Saccharomyces cerevisiae S288C: one gene and its partners. Each later gene encodes a partner of the first gene's protein in a complex. Each region holds a gene or a part of one and is shown in the gene's direction. Other genes may lie near its edges.

Region 1 (2,559 bases):
ATTTATTTCAAGCCCGACTCAAATAGGAGAAAAGGCAAAAAGTATGTTCAAAATATAGTTAAAGGAAAACATATAGAGGAATTAGAAAGCATGGCAAAAAATGAAATTTCTAGCAAGGCTAACGATGATGTGCTATTGGATTTTGATGAAAGAGATGATGTAACAAATACAAATGCAGGAATGCTGAATACTTTAACAACTTTAGGCGATTTGGATGATTTATTTGATTTCGGACCATCTGAGGATGCCACACAAATAAATACAAATGATACCAAGGCTGTACAAGGGTTGAAGGAGCTGAAACTAGGTGGCGACTCAAACGGTATATCTTCTGGTGGTAAAAACAATCCCGATGTTTCGGGCGGCAATATAGTGTCACAGGATCTCCTCGATTTATTCTGACTATAAACGTCCGTTGTAGTGAACTTAAGTATTATACCATACATATATACCCTTCGTATTAATTTTTCCTTTTTATTGTTGGGCTGTGTGTATATAATTTATGTACAAGAATGGATATATCAAAAAATCCTTAAAAGATGTAAATCAAAAACATCAATCAACACAGCTTATTTTGTAGAGCTTTGTTTTTGACATAACTTTTCAAGCTTGTTGATTTTTTCTAAAACAATTTTATCCCTTTCACCATCTAAATATTTCTCATCTGTTTGATAAAACAGGAGGCACGATTTCATTTCATCTCGTTGCTTATCACAAGTGGGAAAAACTTTCATTCCATTTGCCTTAGCACAATCTGCCATTGCTTGAACAAAATTTGCACATTTTTTGTATGTTTCCGTCTTCAAGTTCTTGCGAGCCTGTTGTTCTTCGCGAGGACTTAGCACCCATATAGGTAGCCTAGAACTATGTTTCGAGATCATCTGCGGATCTTTGTTTTGCTCCATCTTATCAAATATATGAAAGTTGTTCCAGATAACTTGAAGATATTCGACTTTTGTATCTCTGGCTTTAATTATGGTTAAATCTTCCTAAACTATCATAGGTATAAATACAGGGCACTCCGTTTTCAACTTTATAATCGGAGAAGTACAAGAGCATTCAAAAAGTTCAAGAGAACGGTATAACAAAAGGACAAAGGGAAGCCAAAGAGGGAAAAAAGATATCCGTACTTTGTAGGAAGGAGACGTATTTAAAAGGCTACCCAAGTTATAAGACTCCAATGTTTGGCCCATTCAAATTAACAAGCCCCGTCGCTGGTGGCCTACTATGGAAAATTCCATGGAGAATGTCCACACATCAAAAAACCCGTCAAAGGGAAAGATTAAGAAACGTTGATCAAGTCATAAAGCAATTAACTTTAGGTCTCCACGTCCAAAGATGTCAGGATAAAGGTCTTACTTATCAAGAAGCCATGGAGAGCAAAAAGAAATACAAGCCAAGAAGTAAATCGTTAAGGTTGTTAAACAAACCATCAGTCTTTCCAAAGGAGAATCAAATGTCTTCTAAAGATAAATATTGGACTTTTGATAAAAAAGCTGTTGGTTATAGGAAGGGTATTCATAAGGTGCCCAAGTGGACGAAGATTTCCATTAGAAAGGCCCCAAAATTCTTTTGAATGATACGTAAAAGATCGTTTTATTGATATAAAAATTTCATCTGTATATAGTTTAATCATTGAATAACTTGTTTATAGATCCATGTTTGAAAGTAACACTCCTAAGAAGGCTTTGATGTTTTGTATTGCTCATATTATATCATGCCCATTGAAATCAACGTTATTTTTTTGTAAAGGTGGGAAGAAAGATCAACAAGATAAATGGCGAAATAGAACATATCAGAACATTTGAACTTCAAAACGAAGAGGACACAAAGAATTTCAGGCAAGAGAATGAACGCTAACAAACAAAGGCAGTATAATCAGCTTGCACACGAACTTAGAGAGCTTCAAACGAATTTACAGGAAACGACAAAACAACTAGATATCATGTCGAAACAATGTAACGAAAACTTGGTAGGCCAATTGGGTAAGGTACATGGAAGTTGGTTGATAGGTAGTTACATTTATTATATGGAGCAGATGCTTGGAAAAACGCAATAAGGCATAAGAGGTAAGACAGTTAGTGGCCAGGCTAATTTATAAGATGTGAAATGAGATGGTGTTGGTACGATGGACAAACAGCTTGCATAAAAAGACAACCAAGTTACGTATAGTGAACGAGTGAAAATAGGCAAACCTTCTATTCACTAGGCCGCTTCACATGAAATTAGATGTTCGTATCATATTTACGGGTATCGCGTAATAAATAAGTTATTAATCTATTTTTTGTGTCTACTTATTTCAATTGGCTATATATCCTTATTTATCATCATCGTCATTATTATTATTATTATTATTATTACTATTACCATTACCCTTATTGTTTGTGTTGGTGGATAGTATGTTAGGACGCTTTTGTTTTCTTGCCAATTTGACTTCATATTCGTGGCAACTTACCAATCCATCAAGAACTAAAGGTTCAGGCTTTGGTTCTTCCTTGAAATAGTCGCTTTGTAAAGCTTCGGTTGCACTAAACCTTTTCGTCTGATCATAACATAACA
Region 2 (4,401 bases), on another chromosome or scaffold:
TTCGTCAGATATGTCTAAGTAGTTCCATTTGTTTCCGTCTACCACAAATCCATACTCGTTCAGTAAAAAATCATTTGAGTGTGCACCATAATTCAAAAAGAGCTCCTCGTTAATGTTGTCATAGAGGTGATCGCCGCATCTAATGGTAAATTGTCCAATTCCAATGATGTTTTCTCCTTCTGACCTCAACTGAGGACTTAACTGAGGATAGCAGTGCAAATCCGACTCACAAATGTGGTTCATGAAATCGACATACGGCACTAAAGTGAAATTGCTTGGGGAGTCCTCTATTTTCAACGGAATCTTCGCATAAAGACATCTTGAGTTTATAATAAAATAAACATGTACAAAAAGGGAGAATAACTCATCACTAGTAAATTTATCAGAATTTTTCGTACAGCTTAAGGAGCCGTAAATTTCATTCCATTTCAAAACCACCTCTGAAATGGTTTCCCAATCTTCTCTGACAAGGCCACTAATTCTTGCCATATGCTTTCGTGAGGCAGCAGGGAGATATTCAATCAGTGAATGGTAACGTGAATTGGGATCACAGTTCCAAATGGCTGGGATTGATCGCAGCTCCTCCATTGAGGGCCATACATCAAAGAATGGTTTCCAATCTGAGTAGATTTCATTGTGAGTCCATTTTGGCAATAGAAAATTTTCAACCAATATATAAAATGATACCAATTGAAATGATGATAAACTTAACAAAAACTCTTTCGATAATTCGGAATATAATCCATATCTAGGATCGGCCCAGGCTTTATTTTCCGCTTCAATAATATTGTCCTCATAATTGATTGGCTTTCTATCGATTGTGATACCAGGAATATTCAGCTCTTTATTAAACTTTGAAATATGATAGAGGATAGTGTGAAAATTTAGTTGCTTCGAGCTCGGTACTGATACAATGATATCGTTTTTTCTTATCGAACCGTGACTGAGGACGATCCCTCTGCCAGTTTCTGGCGATTCACAGATGCTGATGTTTGGTGCTATATAAAACTTATCTGATTTTTTCAGCCATGTTAGCAAGACATCAACCTTTCCTTCCATTCGCAATTTACTATGTAACTTTTTTGTAGATATTTATTCAAAATCTGTATCTTCGACAATCTTGAGACTATAGGTGATGAGTAGACGCATCCAGTTTTAGCTTGAGTTCCCGAATTTTTTTTTAATTTTACTTAATCAAGAAATCTTGAAAAAATGAAAAAAAAGAGTGTGGATCAGAATTGCAAAACAATATTCAAAGTATATGGAATATGTGCTTATTTATAATATATGGTTTTTCTCATTTCTACAGGACAAGCCCTGTTTTTGCTTTGTAGATTATGCTTGTAGTATTTTTCTTCTTTCGAGTTATTGTGGCAATTGCTTAACGGCCGTCGCAACTAAACCGAATGAAATGGCAACTACTCCAAAGAGCATTCCCTTACTAACTCTTGTTCTCTTGCCTTCGACGACTCCTAGTTCTTCAGTGCTTATTAATGTATCTTCGGTATCCTTTTTTTCTTCTCTTGAATCATTTTGTTTTACTTTAGCGTTATTGTCATTGTTAATACCACCATTAAAATTGCTTTGTGTTAAAACTAAATTTTTTCCCCTCTCTTCTTCTATTTGAAGGTTCAGCTCTCTTAATTCACTTTCGAGCTCCTGTAGCTTTTCATGGTTTTGTTTTTCCTTCAAGCTACATGCAGATTTTACTTTATTATTTTGTTGTTTGATTTCTTTTAATTGATCTTCCGATTCTTTGAGTAGCGCATCATTATTTTCTGATAGAGTTTTTTGTAAAGCCGTGCTCAGTTTCAGTAAATGCTTTTCATTCATATCAATCATGTGCTTATTGATGAAATCAAGGTTTATCGTATAGTTTTGCATAAAGTTTTGCATGGAATGTAATTTTTCCAGCTCTTGTTTTTCTAAGGACAGCTCAGTAGTCAAAGTTTTTATCATATTTATCAAATTTATGCTTGTACCTGCTGAATTGTTGATAAAAATTCCACTGAGAACCTCAGTTTCTGGACCTAAAATATCATCATCTAATTCTGAGTTATTAATATCTCCAAACATAGCTGCCTCAAAGGCTGCCCTTTGAGCCGTTGTTGCAGATGTTACACCAGCTTCGGTATAATTTTCCTTTAAATGAGATCGTATTGGAATGTGTTGATTATGATGACCTCTGTCTATCTTTATTCCGTTTATATTAGTGGAGTTCCCATTATTCTTATTAGTATGATCTTGTTTTTTCATCACCAAATTTGTGGGATCAGATACAGTGTTCATTAAGGGAATTACTGAAATCTCTTCCACATACGCACTGATTTTTCTATGTTCAAACTTTGAGTCAATATCAGTTCCCAAATCCACAGTATCACCAACTTTTAATTCTACATCATTTTGGCGTATTTTAACCCCATTAACAAATGTCCCATTGCTGGACTTTAGATCGCGAATATATATCTTTCCTGATGTAGGATCACAACTGAGACAAGCGTGATTTCTGGAAAGAACTCTTGAGTCAAAATTTCCGTTATCTGGTCTAACTTGTTGCGAAAATAAATCTCTTTTCGATCCTGAATTATTCTTGTTTACGCTATTGGTAACTGGTCGACCTAATTTAAGTCCGTCAGGTTTAAATGGTACAACAAGAAACTTGGTCTCAAAAGTTGCATTTAAGGATTTGAGTATAATAATATGTGTATGCTTCTTACGGGGTGATCCAGTTCTAAATAATGTCTCAGTTGAACCATTTTGGAATTTCGATAATTCGTCCAGTGCCGGTGGAGATACGGCTTCTACAGGAATTGTTACTTGTCCAGCCGGTGTTGGGTCTATTGAATTGTCATTTTGATCCTGACTTTGATTTTCAAATGGAGAACGGATTTTGTTGGCTAATATTGGGGATAATTGTTGCTGTTGTGAAACTTGATGGACGGAAGGTGGAGATGAAGCGGTAGGCAACAAATCTAAGCCTGGTGGTATGGTATACTGATCTATATCGACATTTGAACGGGATCCACTGCTTCTCGAGTTTGATCTAGCTCTTCCCATGGGCCTCTTAGGCGGTGACGTTTCTGGCGTCTTTGTCATTCCCTGCGAATTCGATTGATCCCTAACATAGGGAGAATGTTGCAGTTGCGGAGGGGGCCGTCTTCTTTTTTCCAGTTCTACCATGCCAAGAATTTACAGTTGTCTTCCTTCCTTCTAATTTCCAGTTGGTGAGACTGGTGACTATCCGTGGGGTCCGGATTGCGATTTACTTTCATTATGTATTTATTATTGGCGATTATAAAGTTTGTTTTCACAGGGCGTAGTAGTTAGCAACAATGAAAATGAATAATAAACAGATCACAGACGCATATATCTGTGTACGAATTGAAGGATAGGCAAAATAACCATGACAGATGCTTTGGAACAGAGCGTCCTTGCGTTGGAGGGAACAGTTTCAGTATTGAAGGATTCTGTGGAGTCTTTAAAATGTGCAAATGAGCCAAGCACGAACCTTGCATCGACAATGTTGCAAACCAAAAGGGTTTTCCGTTTAGTTCCCGAATATGATGTTGAAAGATCAAAATTAGATTTGATTGAAGAGGTAGAACCGCTGGTTAGGACTCTGGGCGATAAGTTACGTAAATCTATGGGTAGAATGCAAAGGGAACTCGATACTTTGCAGCAAACTTATGAATTAAACGATTTAAGGCTAAAGAAGAACATTAGTATGGATGACGATGATGCTCTGAATAGTCCAGACATGGGTCAAGAATACGAAGGCAGAGACGCGGACGACGTGGTTATGATGGCATCTTCTACTAATGAGGAATTGGAAGAATTGAAGAAACTAAAGGAAAAGAAGAAGCAACTGGAGAATAAGTTGGAAATACTCAAACAGAAATAGTTAGAAGTTTATTTTTTAAAGCATCCATTTATCTCTTTATCCAGTTTGTATTATAAATTATTGTTAATGTTATCGCTAGTAGATTACTTATATGTACTTAACTGTTTGCTAGCTACCAAATTTGCTTGATGGTTCGCCATCGAAGCTTTGAGACTGTTCAATTTGGCGCTTATACTGATCAAAGTTGGATCACTTGTAGATACTATTAACTTTTCACATTCCATGACTACCCTATTATCGAAAGTAACGCCCCTTCTTAATAATTCCTGAGCTTCTGGAAGTGTTATAGCTTCACTTTGAAAAGAAGAAATTATGTGGTTAAGTAATGTGGAATCCTGGACTTGTACACCGTTTTCTGAGAGGATCTTAGATAAAGTTTTGTTTCTTTCATTTGTCACTTGATTTCTTATTTGGTCGCAAAATGACCTGCCAGTTTTACTATCAATCTCGCACCAAGGTTTTTTAGTCACCTTAATTAGATTTCGTAGTTCTATGCAAAG
Region 3 (5,045 bases), 150 kb from region 1:
TTCCTTTCTACTTATAATACAGGAAAGGATATTGATAGTTCTGCCAGTGCTAGGTCAATCACTGGTGTTAGCGGCGTGTTGGATGATGGGCCTAAAACACCAACCTCCAATAAGGAGAATGAATTAATTGACGATGAAGTGAAGTCATATAAAGTGCACCAAGCAGTAGATGGCACCGGTGAAGATTCCATCGCAAACAAGAGGGATAAATCTTCAAGACCAGCGGCGAACAGTGGAGGCTCCATAACGATAGAACAATTTTTATTTAATAAGAATGCCGATAAACAAGGACTATCCAAAACAGAGTCTGTAACTATGAAGAGGGAGCCTGTGGTGGATCAAATGGACTCAAAAAAGGGGCACGATTTTACCCATTGTAACGACAACGGCCGCCGGTCTTTTAGTGGCTTTTCTCAAGGTTCGATAGAAAATGATTATAGTAATGAAGTTACAGATGATCAAGACGATCAAGAGGGATCGGAGATAAGAGTTCGCGATTCCAACGATTCCAATACCTCTCCTAAGGAAAGTTTTTTCAAAGAGGTTATCTAACTTTCTATCAATCGTTTGATGATAACCGGTGCCGCTACTCGCTGTAATATATACCTTAATGTTGGTTTTGTTATATTTTTTTTCATTACTTTTATTTTTTTTTTATTTTTCTGATTAATATTTATTTATTCTAGGTACATCAAGAGCAGAACAAATTTGCCAACTTAAACTACATATGCTGAACAATATTCTCTTTTTAATTTCTAGCTTTTAACGCAATGACCATTGTGGACAATGCGAAATATGTCAAAAAAAAAAGCAGCCAGAAGAAATTCTTCGGCAAAAGGAAAACTACTATACAGATTGAGAAGCATAGAATTAGGTATTAGTTACATCAGTAACGGGGATAACAAAAATAAAAGGGGGAAATGATGACGATGTTCTTGCAAGTTTTATTAAATTGTGCTTTGGAAAGAAAAAGATGAATATATCTTGCAGGTTAGAGGGTATTTCCTAGTCAAGTCTAGCATATATGAGGTCATACGACTACTTGAATAGATTCGTTGGAAGAGGAATTATTGTAAATATTTGAAGATGCTGTTTCTGTGGCAATCACGCCGGCGTTATCGTCCGAAGGCAAAACGTCTTCACTGTGGTAGAGGCCTAGCGCCTTGTCATACTTGTAATAACCCGAAAATGATTCCACGTGGTTGAAATAGCGGGATTGTCTGTATCTTCCACCTAAATAAAAGTCGGCGGAAAGAATCATAAATATGATACCAAACCAAAATGCTAGCAACCATTCGAAACAAGCACTCTTAGATCTATCATTGATAGCACCAAAACAAATGGCCCATACAACTGCGAGAGTTAACCATATAACTTTTAGAGTTGCACTGATGGTAAATTTATTCCATACATGGCCTTTCCATTTATACCAAGGCAGCTCATCCACAGTGTTATAATCTTGGTTAAAGCTTTTTTCAGATGATTGAGGATTGAAATGAGGGCTGGCTAGGGGGTGGACTGAGGCATAGTGCCTTCCCATGAGGAAATACTCTGCAATCAAGCAGCAAGTGGATAGGAACATGAAGACGACGAAAACAGAGACCATAGCAATGTGAACGCGATGGTACAGGGCGGTTGAGAAGATGGAACTGAATAAAAGGGCTAGTTCACCAATGCTGCCGAGAACAAAAGCTGCGAAAATCAGGTTCCGTTCATCCTTTGTGTAATATGGAGGCATTAAGTATTTACCGCTGTGCAATTTCTCAGCATAAGATGTGGAATCAGAGATAGAAGGGTCTTTTTTTTTCAGTTGGAAAGGCAGATAGCCGGATCTTTGAAAAAACTCAAGGGCAACAGTGATTACATAGCCTAGACCCTGCCAGCCGGCGCACGATATAAACAGTGGCCTTAAATTAGTGGCACCTATATCTGAAATGTACACAGGGAATTGCTCCGAGTGCATGAACCAATATATGGGATGGCCTTGACTGGCCCAGCAAATAAGCATGGCTATCAGCATACCATACCATGGAATGAAGGCAATCCAGGGTACTATGAACAGCCAGTTACCTGGACTTTTAAATTGAATCATGCTATTGCTTGTACCTTCTATGTGTTTTTACTATGTAGCAGAACTTTTTACTATGAATGTTAAAAGTATCTAAAGGAAAAAAAATCCCGCAAAAAATTGTGTCTTATTATTTAGGTTTTTAGTTGTCCAGATGTTAAATCAGTAAATCTCAACTTCAGGGAATAACTATATTTATAAACTGAATGCCCCTAAGAAGGAGTGAAAATTCCGGTTTCATTCTCCTTCGCTTAGATGACAAATCTTCCAGGCTGAAAAAAGTTGCTATTTTTCCAGTTTTTTTTTTTCATCCATTTACTTTACTGCCGCGGATCCTTCAATTGAACAGAGCCCTTAAGCCGCAGAGGGGTAAGAGATCTTCGTTTTTGAACAGCCGTGGAAGATGTTTAGAGTTGGATATGGCTGGCAAGACCGTTGTGTTAGTCTTCATTGATAATCTTGGGCCTTATCCCGTCCTACTTGCACTATTATAGTGGAAATGCGATATGTCCGGTGCGTCATAGAGGAACGGAGGCCCTTGCTTGATTAGTAGCTACTCCGATTAAATGCGGTAGTGCCGCGCGGGTAACAGAACAGCGAGTTTTTCCTGTTTTCTTTTCCGTTCTTTTCCGTTTGTTTCCGTTCTTTTCCGTTTTTTTTTTCCGTTTTTTTGGTTTGTTTTGGTGAGCTGAGGCATCAACAAAATAGATATCTACAGTTTGGGGTGGGAATAGAGCCAGGTTGATCAACGTATGGAAAGAGCAACATAAGGGATTGTTGACACAAAAAATGGATTCTGCAAGCAAAGAGGAAACATTGGAAAAACTTGATCAAGAAATTACAGTGAACCTGCAGAAGATAGACTCTAACTTGAGTTTCTGCTTTCATAAGATCACCCAGGACATCATCCCACACGTGGCTACATATTCAGAAATATGTGAGCGGATCATGGATAGCACCGAATGGCTGGGGACTATGTTTCAAGAGACTGGGCTGGTGAATTTGCAGGCAAATGCAGCTGCACCAGTGGGAAACGCTCCAGTCAAAAGCCTTGTGAGCAATAATGTTGGTATATTTCCTACATCCGCTGAAGAGGCGAGTAGGCAGTCCCAGACAGACAATGGGCCTAACGAGGCAGATTCAGCTGTACATGTCAACCGGGATGTCCATTCTATGTTTAATAACGACAGTATAGATGATTTCCACACAGCGAATATAACATCCACGGGACAGATATTGAAACTTCCGGACTCTAGCGACGAAGATACTGGTTCAGAGGCGGTGCCTTCAAGGGAGCAAACAGACCTTACAGGCGAGGGTCATGGTGGAGCTGATGATGAGCAAGATGAAAGTACAATACAGAGACAAAGCCGCAAAAGAAAGATTTCGCTACTTTTGCAGCAGCAGTACGGGTCTAGTTCCAGCATGGTACCGTCTCCGATTGTGCCCAATAAAATGCGGAAGCAACTGGCTCATGAAGAACATATTAATAACGACGGCGATAACGACGATGAGAACAGCAATAATATAGAGAGCTCGCCTCTGAAGCAGGGGCACCACCACCCGAAGGGACAAGCGGATGATAACAACGAAGGGCCCGATGAAGAAGAGAGTACGAAAGAAGTACCAAAGCCTGGGACCATCATTCATTTTTCTACGAATAGATAGAATAAATAAGTACATACAATTTTTACTAGTGATGAATATCAGAACGCAGGGTAATGGGCCCGCTATATTTTTTCTTCGATATAGGGAGAGCCACATTCAGAATATTCAGAGTATTTGCATGTAGAAATTTATTCTAAGTGCGCCAGATATATGCCGGGAGAGGTCATTAGAAAACATCTGTTTGTGTTTTAACTTGAATTACAATAACAATAATACCAGTTTTATATGGGGAATATAATGTCAGCTAGTTTTGCGCCTGAATGCACTGACCTGAAGACGAAATACGATAGTTGTTTTAATGAATGGTATAGCGAAAAATTCCTGAAGGGAAAATCCGTTGAGAACGAGTGCTCAAAACAATGGTACGCTTATACTACATGTGTCAACGCAGCTCTCGTCAAACAAGGTATTAAGCCTGCTCTAGACGAAGCTAGGGAGGAGGCGCCGTTTGAAAATGGCGGCAAACTAAAAGAAGTTGACAAATGAAGTATATATTTTAGCACAGAATGTGCATTATTCAACATGTAAATACTAATACTGCAATATCGACTTATAATAATGTATAGTGATCCGTATATTAATAGATCTGTTTCAATTCTTTACCTTTTTAGGATATCCGTCACCCGTGATTCCGTCGGAGGTGAGCACTCGCCCAAATAAATAACGGGAAATGGTGGCAAAAAGTAGTGGCGGGAAAAGGAAAAATTTTCGTTCTCTCCCATATAAACGTTTCATTCCTTTTCCTAAGTCTTTTACAGTAATTTCAGAAACATTCGTATTTTATATTTGATCTTTTGAAGCTACAAGAAAAACTCTTACCAATTACCCCAAAAAAATCACCATCATAAAGTACTTACATATTTATTTTTGTTTGGTCGTTTTCTCAATATAATCTACATCATCATATATATATAATGTCTACACAATTTAGGAAGTCTAATCATAATAGTCATAGTAGTAAAAAACTAAATCCTGCGCTAAAGTCCAAAATAGATACGCTTACAGAATTGTTCCCTGACTGGACGAGTGATGATTTAATTGATATAGTTCAAGAATATGATGATTTGGAAACTATAATTGATAAAATTACTTCCGGCGCAGTGACAAGATGGGATGAAGTAAAGAAACCTGCTAAGAAGGAAAAATATGAAAAAAAGGAGCAACAACACTCATATGTCCCTCAACAACATTTGCCAAATCCAGAAGATGATATTACATATAAGAGTTCTAATAATAGCAATTCTTTTACTTCTACAAAGCATAACAGTAGTAACAATTATACTCAAGCCAGAAATAAGAAGAAGGTACA
Region 4 (4,350 bases), on another chromosome or scaffold:
AGTAGAGAAGGGAAATTTGATATTCACTTCTGCCCGTGGAACCAGAGTTGGAAGAGTATCAGGAATGGCAGCCAACGTTTCTAACCTTTGCATCAATAACATCTGGCCGTACGATTCCCAATGTTGTTTCCCCAAATGTCTGTACACTGGCACATCATAATCTATTATATCCTTAACATTGTTCAACTTGTTATTAAACTGAAAATTGTATTGTACCTCAGGATTATTGATCTCTGCTTTTATGAGAAGTGCATCCTTCTTCAAGGGATTTTTAGTCTTATTGGCCAACTCATAAAACTTACTGGATCTTTGCTCAAGAAAATCATAACTCATCCTGAAAATCTCATCAATGTGTTCTGGAGGTGAATATTTGATACGGTTACTTCTTCTGCTGATAGATGGTGGGTCTAGAGAAGCTTTCTTCTGGAAAAGGTAATTTTTCACTTTTGAAGATTGGATAGAAAGTGAACTAGGCCTTGTGGTAAAGTCCGACCAAATATGCGAAGTAGCATTAGGTTTTTGGAGGATTTTAGTGGTATGAATAGATCTTCGTAACATAGTTCGGCAGTGACCTTGATTTCTGTAAAGATCTCTGAATAAGCTTTTTGCTGTAGTCTGATATTGTATTGGATACTGTTGTCTTATCCCAGACCTTCCGGCTTCCGGTTTAGCCCGGAAAATTTGAAAAGACTGCGACAGTAAATCCCAAACACATAAGAAAATAAAAAAAGGAATACATAAACAAAAATGGATATATAAAGGCTAATTTTTTTTTGTTTATCAAATATTCCTTATTTTTTAACTTTCTTAAAAATATTTAAACACCAGATTTCGAAAAAAGTAATATTTATTCTTTAAAAATGCGGTGACCAGCGGGCGATGATAATCAAATATTTAAAAATGATATAATGATAAAACTTGAATTATTTTTATAGGAAAAGTGGAACCAAAAGATTTTCTAATGCACTGATATCATGAGCAGTTAATGAAAAATTATTAATATTATTTTTTTTATATTTTTATTCAAAAATAACATTCAAAATTTAATTTTAATAAACTCATTTAAAAAAAACCTCTAAAAACATGAAGATAGAACTATAATAACGGCTTCAGTATTCAAGACAAAGCCATGTGCAGGTGAAACGATAGAAAAGTGACATAGCCGAGACAATCTAAATGAAGAATTCCTGTACTCATCTCAGACTAGCATTAACAGGGACTTGCATAATTATATCTCTATCTCTGTGTCTATGTATATATATATATATATCGACACAAATGCAAAAAATTACAAAATTTTCACCCACCATAGACGCCAGTGAAAACATGTTTAATTTCTTCCAACGTGTAGTTACCTGCCAAACATAATTGTAACAAGATTCTGCTCTTTTCAGGGCTTAGATAACCAGATGCGATGAGATTATCCTCCTTTGAACCTTTCTTTGGTACGTTGGCAATAGGCACCATACCATCCATCGATCTCTTGGAATATACGATCGGCAAACTCAATTTCATGCAGGTTTCATTGACCTCCTCCGGCAATGAACCAGCACCCATGGTAGCAAGAACAATACCATCATACTTATCTGCCACTAAGTTGACTATAGCTGGCGGAAAGGCTTGGTGAGCATATAAAATGCAAACCTCTGGTAATTTAAAATGCTTACCGTCCACTCTCAGTTTGAATTTGTGGCAACCTTGCGGTTTCACAGGAGGATAATAGTAGTGAATTTCATTGTTGACAAAATTTCCTAAATAGCCTTGTCTAACATTAAAAGAATCCAAACTATTTGCATTCGTCTTAGTAATGTAGTAACCAGAGGAAATTTGGTCATTCAAGGAAACAAGAACACCTCTTCCTCTAGATTTTGGATTTGAAGCAATGCAAATTGCTTGGTAAAGGTTCATAGGGCCATCAGCAGAAACGCTGGTTGAAGGACGCATCGAACCAACAAAAACAATAGGAACGTCGCCAGCATCAATAGTACTTTCAATAAAGAATGCAGTTTCAGATAGCGTATCAGTCCCATGGGTAATAACTATACCGTCAAAAGCCTGCAACGATTCTGAGACGCCCTTATAAATTTTATAAAGAATATCCTCGTTTATGTCTTTAGAATCCACGTTGCATAGTTGCTCATATTCAATGTCACAGACCTTGGATATATCTGGAATGGCATCCAATAGATCTTGGATGGTCAGGTCAACATGATAGCCGGCAGTTTGAGAGGAGTCTATAGCTTTCGATGCAATAGTACCACCGGTACCCAAGATTTTGATTCTTGGTAAGCTACGTTGTTGGCAAGCGATGCCGCTGCCATTCACAGCGGCATTTTGAGACTTTAGAATCTCTGGAATAGTCTCTGGACAGTTGCTTTGCACAACAAACTGAGAATTTTCAACATCTGGGCAGATGGTAGTGATTTCAACTGAATCGCTTTTCATGATACGCTTCCAAAAGTGCGATGAGAGTGCTGTTATCCTCCACTGTCTTCAAACACATTTCTTCAACAAAGTCATCGTCATCATCTTTTTTTTTTTTTTTTCATCGAGTATTTTTTCACACGAACGGCACAAGTAGCCTTCAACTGTAATAAACAAAAGCAGATAGGGAGGAAAAGAAGTGAGTTTAGGAAAGAAAGCATAACATGGAGAACCCTCATGAACAAGTGCAGGCTAACATACTTTCGCGAATAATTGGTAATGTCAAAAGGCTCAATGAGAGCGTGGCAATTCTTAACCAGGAGCTTGTGACCATTAATAATCGGAACAAAAATCTAGAAATCATGGGCGCAATTTGTGATAACTACCATAGTAGCGTCCAATTCAACCTGGAAGCGACCAATAACAAGAAGCCACCTCTTTAATTCACCAATTTTCTATATACGCATACTCATATACACATATATATATGCTATACCGTTTCTAATATATTCATTTAAGATCACTGTTTCCTGCGAAAAGGAGAAAAAAATAACAGCACATCGCTTAACCTATTCCTGTGCTTCTGGAAAGGACGCAGCCTGCAAGAAACAGTCAACATCAATGTCAGATCCATTTGCACATTTACTGACTTCTTTGAAGAATAAGGACTCTGCATCTGCATCCAAGGAAACAACTCCTCAGAGCAGCAATTCGCCTTCCATTACTGGTTCCGCTGTTGCAGATGTTGCAAGGACGGATAAAAGCCCCAATGATAGTCTGCATTCAATTTCAGCTCCTCCGCTGATACCGTCACCGAAGGTAGATTTTTCTGCACCTCCTTTGGTCCCAACTAATAGCACCACTAAATCTAATACTGCCAACAACACACCTCCCTCGGCTCTTGCCAATACCGATGACGACTTCAATCAACTATTTGGTATGGGCACAGTAACTACAACGGATACGATCCAAAAACCGGATGAGGATTACTATGGAAGCAAGGAAGACCACCTTTACAATGGTGATGACGCCTTAGTTGATGAAGTTAAGGATATGGAAATAGCAAGATTGATGTCTCTAGGTTTATCAATTGAAGAAGCCACTGAGTTTTACGAAAATGACGTAACTTATGAAAGATATTTGGAGATTTTAAAGTCAAAGCAAAAGGAGCGCAACGATCTAGCTATAAGAAAGAAAGAAAGTGGTATAAAAATGGAAAAGTCAGGATTATCCAACATTGTTGGTACAGATAGCAATAATTTATTCAGCATGGCCACTGATTTTTTCAATAAGGGTAAGAAACTGGTAGACCAATGGACCTCCTTCCCACCTGAGGCAAATGATAGACTGAATAATTACTCAAAAACTCATGATAAGGTTGAGGATTATGATTTGCCTCAAGTAAACGACTCACCCAATAGAATTTTGTTTGAAGATAATGAAGTCGTAGAGAACTTACCACCTGCCGATAATCCGGATCAAGATCTTTTAACTGATTTCGAAACAAAGATTGATATAACAAAGAGGACAGCGCCTGATGTCTCCCACTCCTCCTCACCGACTTCTGGTATACTAATTGAAGAAAATTCGCGAAGAAATGAGCCCCTGATAGAGGATAGTCTTCTCGACTTTTCAGAAGGAAATCTCACCAATAGTAAAAGCAATGAAGATAGCACCCTCTTCAATGAAAACAGCAACACTGACTCTACAATACCCATCTCAGATATTGAATTATCGGGGTATAACGAATTTAAGGCGAAAGGTACTAGTTTGTTCAAGAACGGGGATTATATTAACTCATTACAAGAATATGAAAAGTCTTTAAATACATTGCCTTTAAATCATCCATTGAGGATCATTGCATTATCAAACATTATTGCCTCGCAACTGAAAATCGGTGAGTACTCTAAGTCCATAGAAAACTCC

Evidence for each region.
Region 2: the proteins of HSK3 (region 1) and SPC19 are in contact, whole or in part, in a cryo-EM structure (PDB 8Q84), measured with the Saccharomyces cerevisiae proteins. Residues at the interface, in NP_690844.1 of Saccharomyces cerevisiae: Met1 (codon at 1,850), Asn2 (codon at 1,853), Lys5 (codon at 1,862), Gln6 (codon at 1,865), Tyr9 (codon at 1,874), Asn10 (codon at 1,877), Leu12 (codon at 1,883), Ala13 (codon at 1,886), Leu16 (codon at 1,895), Arg17 (codon at 1,898), Leu19 (codon at 1,904), Gln20 (codon at 1,907), Leu23 (codon at 1,916), Gln24 (codon at 1,919), Thr27 (codon at 1,928), Leu30 (codon at 1,937), Asp31 (codon at 1,940), Ser34 (codon at 1,949), Asn38 (codon at 1,961), Val42 (codon at 1,973), Lys47 (codon at 1,988), Ile54 (codon at 2,009); in NP_010487.3 of Saccharomyces cerevisiae: Met1 (codon at 3,404), Ala4 (codon at 3,413), Leu5 (codon at 3,416), Gln7 (codon at 3,422), Ser8 (codon at 3,425), Leu10 (codon at 3,431), Ala11 (codon at 3,434), Leu12 (codon at 3,437), Gly14 (codon at 3,443), Thr15 (codon at 3,446), Val18 (codon at 3,455), Leu19 (codon at 3,458), Ser22 (codon at 3,467), Ser25 (codon at 3,476), Leu26 (codon at 3,479), Ala29 (codon at 3,488), Ser33 (codon at 3,500), Leu36 (codon at 3,509), Met40 (codon at 3,521).
Region 3: HSK3 (region 1) and ASK1 share a complex: the UniProt entries of both Saccharomyces cerevisiae proteins name them as parts of the DASH complex.
Region 4: the proteins of HSK3 (region 1) and DAD4 are in contact, whole or in part, in a cryo-EM structure (PDB 8Q84), measured with the Saccharomyces cerevisiae proteins. Residues at the interface, in NP_690844.1 of Saccharomyces cerevisiae: Asn2 (codon at 1,853), Asn4 (codon at 1,859), Lys5 (codon at 1,862), Gln8 (codon at 1,871), Tyr9 (codon at 1,874), Gln11 (codon at 1,880), Leu12 (codon at 1,883), Glu15 (codon at 1,892), Leu16 (codon at 1,895), Glu18 (codon at 1,901), Leu19 (codon at 1,904), Asn22 (codon at 1,913), Leu23 (codon at 1,916), Glu25 (codon at 1,922), Thr26 (codon at 1,925), Gln29 (codon at 1,934), Leu30 (codon at 1,937), Ile32 (codon at 1,943), Met33 (codon at 1,946), Gln36 (codon at 1,955), Asn40 (codon at 1,967), Leu41 (codon at 1,970), Gln44 (codon at 1,979), Leu45 (codon at 1,982), Val48 (codon at 1,991), His49 (codon at 1,994), Ser51 (codon at 2,000), Trp52 (codon at 2,003), Ile58 (codon at 2,021), Glu62 (codon at 2,033); in NP_710144.3 of Saccharomyces cerevisiae: Glu6 (codon at 2,664), Gln9 (codon at 2,673), Ala10 (codon at 2,676), Leu13 (codon at 2,685), Ser14 (codon at 2,688), Ile16 (codon at 2,694), Ile17 (codon at 2,697), Val20 (codon at 2,706), Lys21 (codon at 2,709), Leu23 (codon at 2,715), Asn24 (codon at 2,718), Val27 (codon at 2,727), Leu30 (codon at 2,736), Asn31 (codon at 2,739), Leu34 (codon at 2,748), Val35 (codon at 2,751), Asn38 (codon at 2,760), Asn41 (codon at 2,769), Leu44 (codon at 2,778), Glu45 (codon at 2,781), Met47 (codon at 2,787), Gly48 (codon at 2,790), Ala49 (codon at 2,793), Cys51 (codon at 2,799), Asp52 (codon at 2,802), Tyr54 (codon at 2,808), His55 (codon at 2,811), Leu72 (codon at 2,862).

The regions. Positions count from the first base shown.
Region 1 is NC_001143.9:184,303-186,861, reverse strand, and holds HSK3 (Hsk3p), read left to right. Parts: upstream 1-1,849; coding exon 1,850-2,059; downstream 2,060-2,559. Other genes in the region: APL2 (Apl2p), read left to right, coding at 1-402; CMC1 (Cmc1p), read right to left, coding at 570-905; mitochondrial 54S ribosomal protein mL60 MRPL31, read left to right, coding at 1,181-1,576; cyclin-dependent serine/threonine protein kinase CTK1, read right to left, coding at 2,318-2,559. UniProt on the Saccharomyces cerevisiae protein: Component of the DASH complex that connects microtubules with kinetochores and couples microtubule depolymerisation to chromosome movement; it is involved in retrieving kinetochores to the spindle poles before their re-orientation on the spindle in early mitosis and allows microtubule depolymerization to pull chromosomes apart and resist detachment during anaphase.
Region 2 is NC_001136.10:852,914-857,314, forward strand, and holds SPC19 (Spc19p), read left to right. Parts: upstream 1-3,403; coding exon 3,404-3,901; downstream 3,902-4,401. Other genes in the region: RKM2 (protein-lysine N-methyltransferase), read right to left, coding at 1-1,059; VPS64 (Vps64p), read right to left, coding at 1,366-3,180; RAV2 (Rav2p), read right to left, coding at 3,985-4,401. UniProt on the Saccharomyces cerevisiae protein: Component of the DASH complex that connects microtubules with kinetochores and couples microtubule depolymerisation to chromosome movement; it is involved in retrieving kinetochores to the spindle poles before their re-orientation on the spindle in early mitosis and allows microtubule depolymerization to pull chromosomes apart and resist detachment during anaphase.
Region 3 is NC_001143.9:338,359-343,403, reverse strand, and holds ASK1 (Ask1p), read left to right. Parts: upstream 1-2,857; coding exon 2,858-3,736; downstream 3,737-5,045. Other genes in the region: LPX2 (Lpx2p), read left to right, coding at 1-552; SFK1 (Sfk1p), read right to left, coding at 1,031-2,092; MDM35 (Mdm35p), read left to right, coding at 3,962-4,222; DNA damage-responsive RNA polymerase-degradation factor DEF1, read left to right, coding at 4,651-5,045. UniProt on the Saccharomyces cerevisiae protein: Component of the DASH complex that connects microtubules with kinetochores and couples microtubule depolymerisation to chromosome movement; it is involved in retrieving kinetochores to the spindle poles before their re-orientation on the spindle in early mitosis and allows microtubule depolymerization to pull chromosomes apart and resist detachment during anaphase.
Region 4 is NC_001136.10:1,106,797-1,111,146, reverse strand, and holds DAD4 (Dad4p), read left to right. Parts: upstream 1-2,648; coding exon 2,649-2,867; downstream 2,868-4,350. Other genes in the region: mitochondrial 54S ribosomal protein mL38 MRPL35, read right to left, coding at 1-558; asparaginase ASP1, read right to left, coding at 1,300-2,445; auxilin-like protein SWA2, read left to right, coding at 3,046-4,350. UniProt on the Saccharomyces cerevisiae protein: Component of the DASH complex that connects microtubules with kinetochores and couples microtubule depolymerisation to chromosome movement; it is involved in retrieving kinetochores to the spindle poles before their re-orientation on the spindle in early mitosis and allows microtubule depolymerization to pull chromosomes apart and resist detachment during anaphase.